Linked DNA regions of Anolis sagrei. The protein of the gene in region 2 purifies or fractionates together with the protein of the main gene of each other region. This does not show direct contact. Links are inferred from orthologs where the notes say so. Each region holds a gene or a part of one and is shown on either strand. Other genes may lie near its edges.

Region 1 (8,408 bases), on a different chromosome or scaffold from region 2:
ACCCCCTCAGGGGTCCCGACCCCCAGGTTGAGAAACACTGTTCTACACTGTCATGTAAAATCCAAACTAACTGCTTTCAACTGGATTATATAGCAGTGTAGACTCATATAATCCAGGTCAAAGCAGATAATGCGGATTATCTGATTTGATCATCTGGGTTTGATAGCAGTTTAGAAAGGATCAGAGTCTGGGTGGCCATCTGTCTGGAGGGCTTGGGTGGTATATCTTCCTGCCTGGCAGAAAGGGGTCAGTCTGGATGGCCTTTGGGGGACCCTTCTAGCTCTGTGTTTATCCTGGAGTGGAAAAGGCAGACTTAGACAAGATGTTGCAATAAATAAGCAGCAAGATGAAGGAAAGTCAAAAACAGAAACCGAGTCATCTGCGGTTTGTGTCGCAATGGAAAAGGATGAGTCAACAAAAGAGCTGATGCGACACCTCAAGACACTTTGCAACACTTGAGGAAGCAGTTGTGGAGAAAGGTCAGCCTGTCTATCTACACTGTGGAATGAATGCAGTTGGACATCACTTTGACCACCCTGGCTGAATACTATGGAATGCTTGGGAGTTGTAGTTGGATGTATTCCTGAGCTTTCTCTGCCTTTGGTGACTCGCCAAAACTACAACTTCCATAATTCCATAGCATTGGGTCAAAGCATTGAAAGAGGTCTTGAATTTCATTCGTTCTATGCTGTAGAGCAGGCAAGAGCAAACTTTGGCCCTCCAGGTGTTTTGGACTTCAACTCCCACAATTCCTAGCTTTGAGGTCGAGCCCCCAAGCTCCCTCAATCAAGTTGATCTGAACCGCAGCAGGGAGTTCCGCAGTTCCAGGACATCTGATTGGGCCAACAATGATGGGACTGTGGCCACAGCAGTAGTTTCAACTAAAAATCACCGTCTGCTTTCCTTTGTAACAACAGTGTAATAATCCCCAATAAAAGTATCCTTCAACTGCAACTTTTTCTCCTCGTAGTGATACATTGTGTCTCTTTACTGCCTCTAACACTCTCTAACATGAACCTTTCCCTTTCCGAGCCGCAGATCATTGTTAGCTCAGCCGGGAAGCTCTTACAGAATCCTGGGGAGGCTGAAACTGCGTTCCTCTGAACCATGGATACGGAAACCCTTTGGGGCCCCGTATCCACGGGTCAACAGATCGACTCCACTGTTGGCTCACCCAAGATGCTCTTATAGCATCCCGGGAAGGCTGAAACTGCGTTCCTCTGAACCGTTGATACGGAAACCCTTTGGGCCCCCGTATCCGTGGGTCAACAGATCAACTCCACTGTTGGCTCACCCAGGATGCTCTTATAGCATCCCGGGAAGGCTGAAACTGCGTTCCTCTGAACCGTTGATACGGAAACCCTTTGGGCCCCCGTATCCGCGGGACAACAGATCGACTCCACTGTTGGCTCACCCAGGATGCTCTTACAGCATCTTGGGGAGGCTGAAACTGTGTTCCTCTGAACCATGGATACGGAAACCCTTTGGGCCTCCGTATCCGCAGGTCAACAGATCGACTCCACTGTTGGCTCACCCAGGATGCTCGTACAGCATCCCGGGGAGGCTGAAACTGCGTTCCTCTGAACCGTGGATATGGAAACCCTTTGGGGCCCCGTATCCGCGGTCAACGGACCGACTCCAAACCGATGCCATTTTCTCCTAGACTAATTTTGTGACTAACTGTTATCTCACTTTTTCATTATGGACCCCTGCATCTCATGTGTGTCCAGAAGCCTGACAACTCTGGGGAACCTGCTGACCTCTGCTTCGGCAGAGTCTCCTAAATTCATGTTCAACATCGGCTTCAGGCCCTTTCCTGAAGCTGGGAAGGGCCTGAGGCCAGGAATTGTGGGAGTTGAAGTCCAAAACACCTGGAGGGCCAAAGTTTGCCCATGCCTGGTATAAAGGTAACCTTTGTTACATGCAGCCTTGATCAAGGTCATGTTCATTGCACATTCAAAAACCACACCTGTGAGAACATCCTTCATGAGGTTTGCAACATCTAAGCGGATTAAGAGATTGGAAGGGAAGTTCAAACGTTTTGGGTTTGTTTACTCTGAAAAGGAGGAAAAGGTGAATCAAGGGACAGAGGTGCAGAAAAGTAAACACAAGGCCCAAAAGATAGGTCGTACAATGGAATGCATGCAGTTTGACACCACTTCAGCTGATCCTGGGAGTTGTAGTTCCACAAGGTCTTCGGGATTTCTAGTGTAGTGAGGCACCACTACTATTTGGCAGAGAAGCCGAAGACCTTGTGGAATTACAACTCCCAGGATAAGCTAAGGTGGTGCCAAACTGCATGCATTCCATTGTACGATCTACCTTTTGGGCCTGTGTCTCCATACTGAGGAATGTTGGGAGTTGTAGTTTGATGAGATGCTTAGAGCTCTGTAGGCCCATTCATGCTATACAAGGGGCCTGGGATTTCTAGTTTAGCAAGGCGCTACTACTATTTGGCAGGGAAATAAGACCCCTTGTATAGCATGAAAGGGTCCACAGAGCTCTAAGTATCTCATCGAACTACAACTCCCGACACTCCTCAGTATGGAGCCACAGCCACAGCTCCATATTGAGGAGTGTCGGGAGTTGTAGTTCGATGAGATACTTAGAGCTCTGTGGACCCTTTCACACAGAACTCCCATGACCAACAGAAAATACTGGAAGGGTTTGGTGGACACTGACCTTGAGTTTTGGGAGTTGTAGTTCACCTACATCCAGAGAGCACTGTGGACTCAAACAATGATGGATCTGGACCAAACTTGGCATGGATACTTAATATGCCCAAATATGAACACTGGTGGAGTTTGGGGAAAATAGAGCTGGACATTTGGGAGTTGTATTTGCTGGGATTGATCACCTACAATCAAAGATCATTCAGAACCCCATCAATGGTAGAATTGGCCCAAACTTGGCACACAGAACTCCCATGACCAACAGAAAATACTGAAAGGGTTTGGTGGGCACTGACCTTGAGTTTTGGAGTTGTAGTTCACCTACATCCAGAGAGCACTGTGGACTCAAACAATGATGGATCTGGACCAAACTTGGCACGGATACTTAATATGCCCAAATGTGAACACTGGTAGAGTTTGGGGAAAATAGAGCTTCACATTTGGGAGTTGTATTTGCTGGGATTGATAGTTCACCTACAATCAAAGAGCATCCTGAACCCCACCAACGGTAGAATTGGGCTAAACTTCCCACACAGAACCCCCAGGACCAATACGAAATTCTGTGTTTTCTGGTGGTCTTTGCCGACCCCTCTGACACCCCCTCGTACCCCCCCCCCTTCCAGGGGTCCCCACTCCCAGGTTGAGAAACGCTGACCTAGAGTCATAAGAACCAGACATCCTGAGGAGTGAGGTTGAATGGGCCTTAAGAAGCATTGCTAACAACAAGGCAGCAGGAGACGACGGGATCCCAGCTGAACTGTTTAAAATCTTAAAAGATGATGCTGTCAAGGTGATGCATGCCATTTGCCAGCAAATATGGAAAACACAAGAATGGCCATCAGACTGGAAAAAATCAACTTATATCCCCATACCAAAAAAGGGAAATGCGAAAGACTGCTCAAACTTCCGTACAGTGGCCCTTATTTCTCATGCCAGTAAGGTAATGCTCAAGATCCTGCAAGGAAGACTCCAGCAATACATGGAGCGAGAGTTGCCAGATGTTCAAGCTGGGATTAGAAAAGGCAGAGGAATGAGAGACCAGATTGCCAATATCCGGATGCTGGAGAATGGAGAAAGGCAGGGAGTTTCAGAAAAACATCTACTTCTGCTTCATTGACTATTCCAAAGCCTTTGACTGTGTGGATCATAATAAATTGTGGCAAGTTCTTGGTGGGATGGGCATACCAAGCCCCCTTGTCTCTCTCCTGAGGAATCTGTACAAGGACCAAGGAGCAACAGTCAGAACTGACCACGGAACAGGAGACGGGTTCAAGATTGGGAAAGGCGTCCGGCAAGGCTGCATACTCTCACCCAACCTCTGTAACTGGTATGCAGAACACATCATGCGAGGATGTGCGGGGCTTGATGAATGCAAGGCTGGGGTGAAAATTGCTGGAAGAAACATTAACAACCTCAGATATGCAGATGACACCACTCTGATGGCCGAAAGCGAGGAGGAGCTGAGGAGCCTTCTAATCAAGGTGGAAGAAGAAAGCGCAAAAGCCGGGTTGCAGCTAAACATCAAAAAAACCAAGATGATGGCAACAAGAATGATTGACAACTGGAAAATAGAGGGAGAAACCGTGGAGGCTGTGACAGACTTTGTATTTCTAGGTGCAAAGATGACTGCAGATGCAGACTGTGGCCAGGAAATCAGAAGACGCTTCCTTCTTGGGAGGAGAGCAATGTCCAGTCTCGATAAAATAGTAAAGAGTAGAGACATCAGACTGGCAACCAAGATCCATTGCCTAGTCCAAGCCATGGTATTCGCTGTAGTCACATCTACGCATGTGAGAGCTGGACCTTCGGGAAGGCTGAGCGAAGGAAGAGAGATGCTTTTGAGCTGTGGTGTTGGAGGAAAGTGCTGAGAGTGCCTTGGACTGCGAGAAGATCCAACCAGTCCATCCTCCAGGAAATAAAGCCCGACTGCTCACTGGAAGGAAGGATACTAGAGACAAAGTTGAAGTACTTTGGCCACATCATGAGGAGACAGCAAAGCCTAGAGAAGACAATTATGCTGGGGAAAGTGGAAGGCAAAAGGAAGAGGGGCCAACCAAGGGCAAGATGGATGGATGGCATCCTTGAAGTGACTGGACTGACCTTGAGGGAGCTGGGGGTGGTAACGGCCGACAGGGAGCTCTGGCGTAGGCTGGTCCATGAGGTCACGAAGAGTCGGAGACGACTGAACGAATGAACAACAACAAAGAGTCATAAGGCTATGCTGTTTTCCCATTGGCGAGCGCTCCCTCTAGCGACCACTCTGGGTAGTGCGCCTTTTTGCGGATGGATTGAGAACTGGGGACCTGGATGGGGAAGGTGACGTCACAGCGGTGGGGGGGGGGGGGAGAAAAAGGAGGGAGGGGCTGTAGGATAAAAGGGCCGGAGTGCTGCTGCGCCATTCGGACAGTCCGAGGAGGGAAGAAGAGCCAAGGACAGGTAAGAAGGAGAGAGTGGGAGGGATTGCCTGAGGAAGGGGAGATGCAATGCACTGCAATGCAAGAGGGAAGGGATTACTTTTGCAAGGCTTGCAAAGTCCCCATCAAAAATATAAGCAAACACCATGTTAGTTTATCCCCCGGTCCATAAGAATGGGGTATGAGTCTGCAAAACACGCAAGTCAGCCCCCTTTTGGCCCATTCACACATGCATGCGTGCAAAAAGCGTGCAAGATGCGTGTTTGCGTTCTTTCCTGCTCCTGTGGTTGAGGAGGGAAGGAAAAAGAAAATAAACCCGCAAATTGACGCGCAGAGGGCGTCTCGTGTGAACGTGACATGGGGAACACGTGTCATCATGCGTGTTTGCAGATATTACATATTATGATTATTAGTTTGAACCCCGTTTTACTTTTTGGCTAGAGTTCTGTACTTATTTCCTCTTACAGAGCATCCTTTTTAAAGGGACCACAACTCCCAGCATGCTGGTTGGAGGATGATGGGACTTATGGGAGTTCCCAAGATCTGATTTATTTTGCAAATATTACATATTATGATTATTAGTTTGAACCCAGTTTCCCCTTTTGGCTCAAGTTCTGTGCCTATTCCCTACTATAGAGCATCTTTTTTAAAGGGACCACAACTCCCAGGATGCTGCTGGCAGGATGATGGGAGTTATAGTTTCTTCCAATTCCCAAAGCTGTGGTTTATTTTGCAAATACTACATATTATGATTATTAGTTTGAACCCCATTTTTTGGCTCAAGTTCTGTGCCTATTCCCTACTATAGAGCATCCTTTTTAAAGGGACCACAACTCCCAGTATGCTGCTTGCAGGCTGATGGGAGTTATAGTTTCTTCCAATTCCCAAACTCTGATTTATTTTGTGCCTATCCTATTTTGGACATTACATGCACCTTACATGGTCCCCTAACTATTGCAATATTTCGATTTTTATATTTTGATATATTATCATTATATGAATTTATATTGTATTGTTATTGCATTTATTATATTATAATATTATATTTGTTTACATACCACTTTCTTCTCTTCAGGCTGTGAACTATGCTAAAAACAATGCAGTATCCAATTTACATAGATCCTATTTTGTAATGTAATATTCTGATTTATTATACTGTATTTTAATACTATATTTATTACTAGCCGCCCCCTGCCACACGTTGTTGTGGATCTCATGGGGGTTCTGTGTGGAAGGTTTGGCCCAATTCTATAGTTGGTGGGATTCAGAATGCTCTTTGATTGTAGGTGAACTATAAATCCCAGCAACTACAACTCCTGAATGACAAGATTCTATTTTCCCCAAACTCTACCAGTGTTCACATTTGGGCATATTGAGTATTTGTGTAGAGTTTGGTCCAGATTCATCATTGTTTGAGTCCTCAGTGATCGCTGGATGTAGGTGAACTACAGCTCCAAAACCAAAGGACGTTGCCCACCAAACCCTTCCAGTATTTTCTGTTGGTCATGGGAGAACTGTGTGCCAAGTTTGGTTCAATTCCATCGTTGGTGGGGTTCAGAGTGCTCTTTGATTGTAGGTGAACTATAAATCCCAGTAACTACAATTCCCAAATGACGAAATCAATTTTTTTGAGTGAAGGACATACATTGGGTTGTTAGGTGCCTTGTGTCCAAATTTGGTGTCAATTCATCCAGTGGTTTTTGAGTTTTGTTAATCTCACAAATGAACATTACATTTTTATTTATATAGACTAGCCGTCCCCTGCTACGCTTTGCTGTGGCCCACTCTGTGTATATGTGTTTTGTGTGTTTGTGTATATGTGTTTTTGCATATATATATGGTTTTGCCCATGTGTTGTAATTTAATTTTTAGTTTTTTGGCTTTTTAAGTCTCTTCTGCTGTGTTTTTCAGTGTTTTTATGAGTGACAGTCATTCGTTGGTTTGATAGGCATATCGTGTCCAAATTTGGTGTCAATTTGTCCAGTGGTTTTTGAGTTATGTTAATCCCACAAACTAACAATACCTTTTTATTTATATAGACACTTATTTATATACTGCTTTCCTCTCTTAAAGCAGTAAACAGTGCTCAAAACAATGCAATATTTAATTTGCATGGATCCTATTTTGCATATTGCATCTCTCCTACATTGCATCCTCCCTTAAGTTTTTATTTAATGATTCCAATTAGTTAAAAGTAAAGGTTTCCCCTTGACATTAAGTCCAGTTGTGTCCAACTCGGGGACTCTGGTGCTCATCTCCATCTCTAAGTCAAAGACACCTCCAAGGTCATGTGGCCAGCATGACTGCATGGAGCACTGTTACCTTCCCGCCGGAGTGGTACCTATTGATCTCACATTTGCATGTTTTCAAACTGCTAGGTTGGCAGGAGCTGGAGCTAACAGCAGGAGCTCATCCTGCTCCCTGGATTTGAACTGCCGACCTTTTGGTCAGCAAGTTCAGCAGCTCAGCGGTTTAACCCACTGTGCCACCGAAGGCGCCTAACACCTCCCAAAAAAGAACCCCCCAGAAGCAACCAGCCAGTCTTTGAAGCTGCAAGGCCATTTAATGCTAAATTTTGCAGTTACCGTATCCTATTTTACACATTGCATATCTCCTGCCTTTTATTTACCCTGTCTTCTTTTTAAAATCTAATATTTGGATTTATTTGTGCATTAATCCTGTATTTTGAATTTATTTGTGCATTGATCCTCTATTTTGAATTTATTTGTGCCTTGATCCTCTATTTTGAATTTATTTGTGCCTTGATCATATATTTTGAATTTATTTGTGCCTTGATCCTCTATTTTGAATGTATTTGTGCATTGATCCTCTGTTTTGAATTTATTTTTGCATTGATCCTGTATTTTGAATTTATTTGTGCGTTGATCCTGTATTTTGAATTTATTTGTGCATTGATCCTCTATTTTGAATGTATTTGTGTATTGATCCTATGTTTTGAATTTAGTTTTGCATTGATCCCCTATTTTGAATTTAGTTTTGCAATGATCCTCTATTGTGAATTTAGTTTTGCATTGATCCTCTATTTGGAATTTATTTTTGCATTGATCCTATATTGTACCTTGACTTATTTTTTTTTCTTTAACTTTCTGATTTATTTTGCATAGGATATATATATATATATATATATATATATATATATATATATATATCCAAATATAGAACTTCAGGCAGCGGTGGTGCTTGGCTTCTTCCAAAGCATATTTCCCACATTGTATCTTCCCTTTGCTTTTAATGTAACATTTGTATCTATTTTTCATATACTGTATCCTATTTTGCATCCTCTAAATGGGCTGATCTCTTT
Region 2 (7,597 bases):
TTTGATTTCTCTGTGTGTGTGTGGGTAGGGGAGTTTTTTTTAATCCCCTTTCAATAATGAAGATAGTATTTCTAGGCCATATTTAGCCTATTTAGTCAAGTAAAAAAGTACAGTAGTCTTGCTTATCCAACATAAATCGGCCGGCAGCACGTTGGATAAGCAAAAAGGTTGGATAATAAGGAGGGATTAAGGAAAAGCCTATTCAATGTCAAATTACATTATGATTTTACAAATTAAGCACCAAAACATAATATTTTACAACAATTTGATTTAAAAAGCAGTTCAATACATGGTAACTTTATGTAGTAATTACTGTATTTATGAATTTAGCACCAAAACGTCACAATATATTGAAACAGCTGTAGATCCAGACAGGAGGCAGACTGCGTTGGATAATACAGAATGTTGGATGAGTGGAGGTTGGATAAGCAAGACTATACTGTAGTAAGATCTGTATGAATGTTCCTTACTCCTGTGAAAAGAGCCAAAATATCCTCACACATCTCAGAAAAGATATCCAATTGCCCACCTACAGATTCCATAGAGTCTTGGATGACTGTGTTCTTACAGAAAGCAATGCATAAGTGAAACAGACTGTGTGCATGATATCTTATGTTAAAATTTCTTTTTTTAGCCTCTTTTTGGATTATTTTATGCCTTTTCATGTTCATATATAACCAAAAAGTCTAATGAAGCAAAACATACTAGCATGGCTAGCTCTTTGAACACTACTACAAGGCAACAAGCACCATTAGTCTGGATGTGGGGGGTATTAATAGAGTTCTGGTTCTAGGTAAATTATAAACAGATAGAACATAACTCAATATTTCATGGCTTGGAAATCAGGTTGCATTTGTACCATATCCAAAACACCCAAAAGACCTGTTATCTTAAAGCACCACAACACCATCCTTCCTCACTCCTGGCAATATTGCTTGGGGCTGCTGGGAATTACAGTCCAATAACTATGCTTACAGTTGCCCCAGAGACTTGTTAGTGTTCTTAAATGCCACTGTTCTATGTTTGTTATTTCCATCTCCCCAAGGGAATTTTAGCAGCAAACCCTGCTAGGAGCAATGCCACTGAATTCCTGAGGAGTCAGGGCGAGGCTCTGGAGGTGTTTACTGGATCGTTTGGTTTGCCATTGTGGGGAAGACAGAGAATTCTGTCCTCATTAGGATACAGATAGAGATGTAGCCCATTCACTGAAATGGATGTGTTACTCCCAATAGCAAAACAGTTCAGGTCCATTTTGAATGGATACTACAACATTCCTCACTGGTCCTAGAAGTCCAGCAAAGTGATGCAAATCAACCACAGCCCCTCGAGGGGGAAAAGAACTCAACCACATGCATATTTTGATTTTTGACAGTAGTCAAAAGATCTATAAAGATGTATACAGATACAGAGGTCTTGAAAAACAGGTGTTCAGGGCTAGACACCTGTTCACACATACATACTTGCAACATTTGGAAGATGCTCCACAGGTATCCAAAGTCTCATAGTCATTTTCTTAAAATAACGGTAAATACAACACAATTCAAGGAACATGAAAGGCACTGCAGACTAATTCAAACAGAGAAGTCAGCCATAGTAGAGTACTTGATGAACCAACCTGGACACAGCATACATATTATTTGAGAACACAGAAATGCTGGACCACTCTCACAACTGTCATGTCAAGCTACACAGAGAAGCCACTGAAATCCACAAGCATGTGGACAATTTCAACAGATGGGTCCCAGCTCCCGCTTTCATGGCAATGGATGGGGAAGAAGGAGAGTATGGTAGATTCCTGAAGAGGTAACTCTACTTTCCTAGTTTACAACAGATCTCACATATAGCCCGAAAAAACCCACAAGAACCTAGTGATTCCAGCCATGAAAGCCTTCGACACTACAGATCTCACAACCTCTGAGGATGCCTGCCATAGAGGCAGGTGAAATGTCAGGAGAGAATGCTTCTGGAACATGGCCGTACAGCCTGGAAAACTCACAGCAATCCAGTGATTCTGGTCATGAAAGCCTTTGACAATACAAAATAAATCCTGCTACTTCCAACAGGACTTACTTCAGAAGGCAGCCTATGTCACAAGATTGCTATGCTTGCCTGTAATCTTGCACACGAGATAATTCCACACTAAACCAAGCTCTATTCTTGAGTAAGACATGCAAATTGGCATTGCCACGAGGATACCTTTCTTATTGTCCATCTGGACACTGTAGAATGGTGGTGTGTGACACTATTTTAATAGCCATGGCTCATGAATTAATGCTTGTTGTAGTTTTACAACAAGCCAAACAGTGCTAGTACCTCCAAACTACAACTCCAAGGATTTCATACCATAGAGCCCTGGCAGTTAAAAGTGCTGTCAAACTACATTCACTCTGGGTTATTGTGAGTTTTTTGGACTGTATGGCCATGCTCCAGAAGCATTCTCTCCTGATGTTTCACCTACATATATTGCAGGTATCCTCAGAGGTTGTGAGTTCTGCCTCACAACATCTGAGGATTCCTGCCATAGATGCAGGCGAAACATCAGGAGAGAATGCTTCTGGAACATGTCCATATAGCCCAGAAAACTCACAACAGCACAGTGATTCTGGCCATGAAAGCCTTTGACTATACATTTACTCTTGACTGTAGATGCTACTAGATGTACCAGACAGGACACCAGGCTACAAATCCTATGATTCCATACCACTATGTAATGACAATCTAAGTGTTTTGAAACTGAATTGTAGGGATGTAGACGCATCCCTAGATCTACCAAAAGCAAGCTGTTTTCCTGCTCGGTGGAATTTACTCGCCTGTAAGTGCACCCAAGACTGGCAAAAGCCATCCCTCCACAACCCTTCTCTGTTTCTCTCCCCAAAGGGGAGAAATAAAAGAACCCAGTCTCAATTCAACCAGTTTACTTACCTTCCTTGCCAATGAAATGTGACTCCTTTCGCCTCGGGACTCTTTCGAAGTGTGATTAAGAGCAGGGAGAAGAGAGCAGGGCGATGTTTGGCTTAGTACATCCCGGCTGAAGGATGCAGGGATGCAGGCAAGAGTGGTACCCAGGTCCAGGGGAAGTAAGGCCAGGAGGGGAAAGATGGGTCCCAGGTTCCGCTTTCAGGGCAATGGGTGGGAAAGAGGGAAGGCAGCCAGGGCTTGAAGGGAGACCAGCCAGTTCCTTCCCTTGCTTCTCTTCCTCTCTCTCCCTCTTTCCCCCTCCCCCTGCGCCTTTTTTCACCGCCTCTTGTCTCATTCGTCAGGTAGCGGAGGCAAGCCGCGCCCAGGAGCCAAGCCGGAGCCAGGACGCCGCCTTCCTCCTCTCCTCCTCTTCCTCCTCCTCCCTGGTCTCTCCATCTTTTGCTGGCTCCACCCGGTAGTAAAGAAACCCCCCTATTCTCCCCTCCCCTCCACCTCCGAAATACACCTCGAAGGCTTTCCTGAAAGGAGAAACTCTTCCTCCTCCGATGGGCAACAAGTGGGGAATTTTTCTTCCAGTTTGCGCTGCCTTCCTGCAAACTCTAGTCCTGCAGGTTTTTGAGACTTCAGCTTCCAGAAGCCTCAGCTGCTTTGGACGTCAGGAATTCTGGGAGCTGAGGCTCAACACACCCAAAACAACCAAATTTTAGGAAGCAGTAGTTTAAAGGGATAGACATGTTATATAAGAAGCATGTCTTATTACATAGTAAATACATTCTTCAGCAAAGCCTAGAGAAGACAATTATGCTGGGGAAAGTGGAAGGCAAAAGGAAGACGGGCCGACCAAGGGCAAAATGGATGGATGGCATCCTTGAAGTGACTGGACTGACCTTGAAGGAGCTGGGGGTGGTGACAGCCGACAGGGAGCTCTGGCGTGGGCTCATCTATGAGGTCACGAAGTCGGAGACGACTGAACAAATGAACAACAAACATTCTTCAGGGGTTTGGTTCCAGGGTGCATCTATATTATATAATTAATTCAGTTTGGCATCATGTTAGCTGCTATGGCACAATGTTTTGGAATCAAGGGAGTTGTCGCAATGAGCCATGGCAGTTAAAGTGGTGCATATTCTGCTGTGTAAATGTACCCAAGGAAAAGCAGGTTGGTGGGCAAGGGTGTAGTGACCTCCGCTCTTATACCTATATTTTTCACTGCTTCTGCTTCCATAGGTGTACTCTAAACTGGTAGTGGTTCTCAAGCTTTGGTCCTACAGGTTTTGGGACTTTAACTCCCAGAACAACAGCAACAAATGTTTTGGACTTCAGCTCTCAGAAGTCCTGACAGCTGGCTATGACTTCTGGGAGTTAATCATAGAATCAGAGAATCATAGAATCAAAGAGTTGGAAGAGACCTCATGGGCCATCCCGTCCAACCCCCTGCCATGAATGCAACATTCCTGCTTCTTGGCAGGGGGTTGGACTGGATGGCCCATGAGGTCTCTTCCAACTCTTTGATTCTATGATTCTATGATTTAACTCCCAGAAGTCATAGCCAGCTTAACCAGCTGTCAGGACTTCTGAGAGCTAAAGTCCAAAACATTTGTTGCTGTTGTTTATTCATTCACTCAGTCACTTCCAACTGTTCATGACCTCATGGATCAACTCATGCCAGAGCTCCCTGTTGGCTGTGGCCACCCCCAGTTACTTCCAAGCCAAGCCAAGGATACCATCCATCTATCTTGCCCTTGGTTGTCCCCTCCTCCTTTTTCCTTCCATTTCCCCAACATCATTGTCTTCTCCAAGCTCCAAAACACTTATGGGAGCAAAAGTTGGTAACAAGTGCTTTAAAGACATAGAGGTTATATAAGAAGTATTCCTTGTTGCATAGTAAATACTGTGGGCTCTGATCTTGCAGTGGTTCCCAAACTTTGGTCCTAGGGGTTTTTCAGTCTTCAACTCCCAGAAGCTTCACCTAGCTTGGTTAACTACCTGAAATTCTGGGACTCAAAGTCCAAAGCACCCGGAGAACCAAAAGTTGAGAACCAGTGCTCTCAAGTGATAGGTAGGTTATATAAGAAGCATTGCTTATTTGCATAGCAAATAAAATCGGCTTTTAGTATGAACCATCAAGGAGGTTAAGATCAACTGGGGAGGCTCTGCTCTTGGTCCCGCCTCTGTCACATGTGCAGTTGATGGGGACAACAAACAGGGCCTTCTCAGTTGTGGCTCCTTGGCTCTGGAACTGCCTCCCTAGAAAGATTAGATCAGCGCCCTCCCTCCTGACCTTTAAAAAGAGAACAAAGACATGGTTGTGGGATCAAGCCTTTGGCTAATAAATAATGCAGTAGGAAGAATAATTAAGGAACATGTGCAATGACAGTTCAGAATGGCTATGATATATGATTTCTGGATCATGGGATTTTAATCTTTATACTAGGATGATTTTATGCTTTGTCTGAATGTTTAAATGTTATTTATGTCTTATCTTTAATGGTTTTAACTGGTTTTAAGTTAATAGTTATATGTAGTAATTAATTATTATGATTTCTTTGTGTACTGTATGTTGGCATTGAATTTTTGCCATTAGTATGTTGTAAACCACCTTGAGTCCCTCAGGGGTGAGAAAGGTGGTATATAAATACAGTAAATAAATAATAGTATCTTCTGGTATTTGGTTCCAGGTCTCTCCAAAATCTGTGGATTCTCAAATCACATGATATACATGGTGTAGGGAAAGGGTGCCCCTTATATAGAAGGGTAATATTATGATTGGTTTATGGAATGTGAAGAGAATATTTCCAAATTGTAGATGATGGAATTTGTCAATGCAGACTTTGTGGATACCGAGGATCAGTTGCATATCAAATAATGGAGCTGGGATGGGGAACATTTGGCTGTCTCTTGAGATGTTTTGGATCACTATCTCCAATCCTCCCTCACTGGACATCCTAGCTGGATTTTCTGGGAGCTGGAGTTTCAAACATCTCGTTGGTCCTCTATGTCCATGACTTCTGCATCCCAAATGCATCCAAAATCCAAAGAATCAAAATTGTTCAGAATGTGCAGAAAAATATTATTTTCTCTACAGAAAATGTTTCCTGTGCAGTGTTAGAGGAGTTTAACAACCTCATCACACTCACCAAATTCAGTGTCCTAGGAAGCTTCCAGTCTGTTTTGGGGATGGAAATGCCAGCCATCACACAACATTGTGTGACTTCTGGTGGAGGCCCTGCCCCCAATCGGGGTGGAGGCATCTGTGGATGCTTCCCACACAACACAGGAGGCTTCCTATATTGTGCTGGCCCCAATGGAGCCAGCACAAATCCTCCCCAGAAGGGCGACACTTCCCACATGTGATAGAGAAAGCATCATCAAGAAGAGCTGCTCGTGAGGCAACAGATTCACTCTGCTGCCAGGGATGTCTCAACCCATTACGCAAAGTAAGCATTTGCAGTATAGTTGATTTTGCCCAGGGGCGCACTTGAGGCACTCTTGGGGGAAAATAGACCTTGACATATGCGAGTTGTAGTTACTGGGATGTATAGTTCACCTACAATCAAAGAGCATTCTGGACTCCACCAATGATGGAATTGAACCAAATATGGTACACAGAACTCCCACGATGAACAGAAAATATCTATCAGTGATTGGTTGGGGGGGGGAGGGGGCGCCAAAATACTGTTGAAAATTACCTAGGGCCGCCTCTGTCCGCTGCCCCCCCCCCTCTTTCCTCCACAAAACCAGACGAAGCCAGGTGATAAGGTCATAAACTCTTTTCCTTTACTATGGTCCAGCTCCACTTACTTTCCTCACCATAGCCTAGTCTGGCTAATACCTATAGTAGCTTTGGAAGAAAACCTGCAAAGACCCCAATGGATACTTGCCTCCTTTTATAAAACTACTCATATAGGAGTCATCTAGACTGCAACCATAGTAGAGGAGAGAGTTAACATCTTCAATTCTCTTGTTATTTACGCATTTTTTAAAAATCCACTCAGACATAAGAAAAACACCATGCCAATTTGCTGTTATAAAGGTCAGTTCACTGTTACATCAGCTTAAATCCACAATAAACAAAGGGTGTACAGAATTTTCTCATTTTCATCCTTGAAATAAAGATTTATTTTTGTTGTTTTTTTAAAGTTTCATCTAAAGATTGAGTTGCCTGGCTCTTTTATACCTTGAGTAGAGTCTAGTTCTTGATGAACTCAATAAACTTATATTATGACTTCTTCTTTACAATAGAGCAGTGGTTCTCAACCTGGGGTCCCCAGATGTTTTCGGCCTCCAACTTCCAGAAATCCTAACAGCTGGTCAACTGGCTGGGATTTCTGGGAGTTGTAGGCCAAAAACATATGGGGACCCCAGGTTGAGAACCACTGCAATAGAGTATGATCCCCATATTATAGAAGTTAAGCTCCTGGGCGTTTTGTAGATACATGAAACTGTGAACCCTATTGAAATTAAGTAGTTCTGGCCCAAGCATACCATTACGTTATGCTGGAAGATCTAGAAAATGCCTAAAGAGATGTATTTGGTCAGACGTGGATAAATAAAACTGCAGATACCAGTGCCATGGATATGTGGATCACACTGTGCTTCTGATAGCTAAGTGGAATGGAAGCCACAGGTAGATGGACTGAGACTCTGGTAATTGCAAAGTTGGTTCAAAACATTTTGC

What was found.
Region 1: the proteins of SNCA (region 2) and CLU purify together in Homo sapiens (affinity purification with western blotting; 3 studies listed by BioGRID and IntAct, with this or other methods). This does not show direct contact. The link is inferred for Anolis sagrei from reciprocal best matches to the Homo sapiens genes SNCA and CLU.

Annotation. Positions count from the first base shown.
Region 1 is NC_090021.1:3,069,783-3,078,190, forward strand, and holds the start of CLU (clusterin), read left to right. Parts: upstream 1-5,027; 5' UTR 5,028-5,108; intron 5,109-8,408.
Region 2 is NC_090025.1:20,884,490-20,892,086, forward strand, and holds the start of SNCA (alpha-synuclein), read right to left. Parts: upstream 3,312-7,597; 5' UTR 2,923-3,311; intron 1-2,922. UniProt on the Homo sapiens protein: Neuronal protein that plays several roles in synaptic activity such as regulation of synaptic vesicle trafficking and subsequent neurotransmitter release.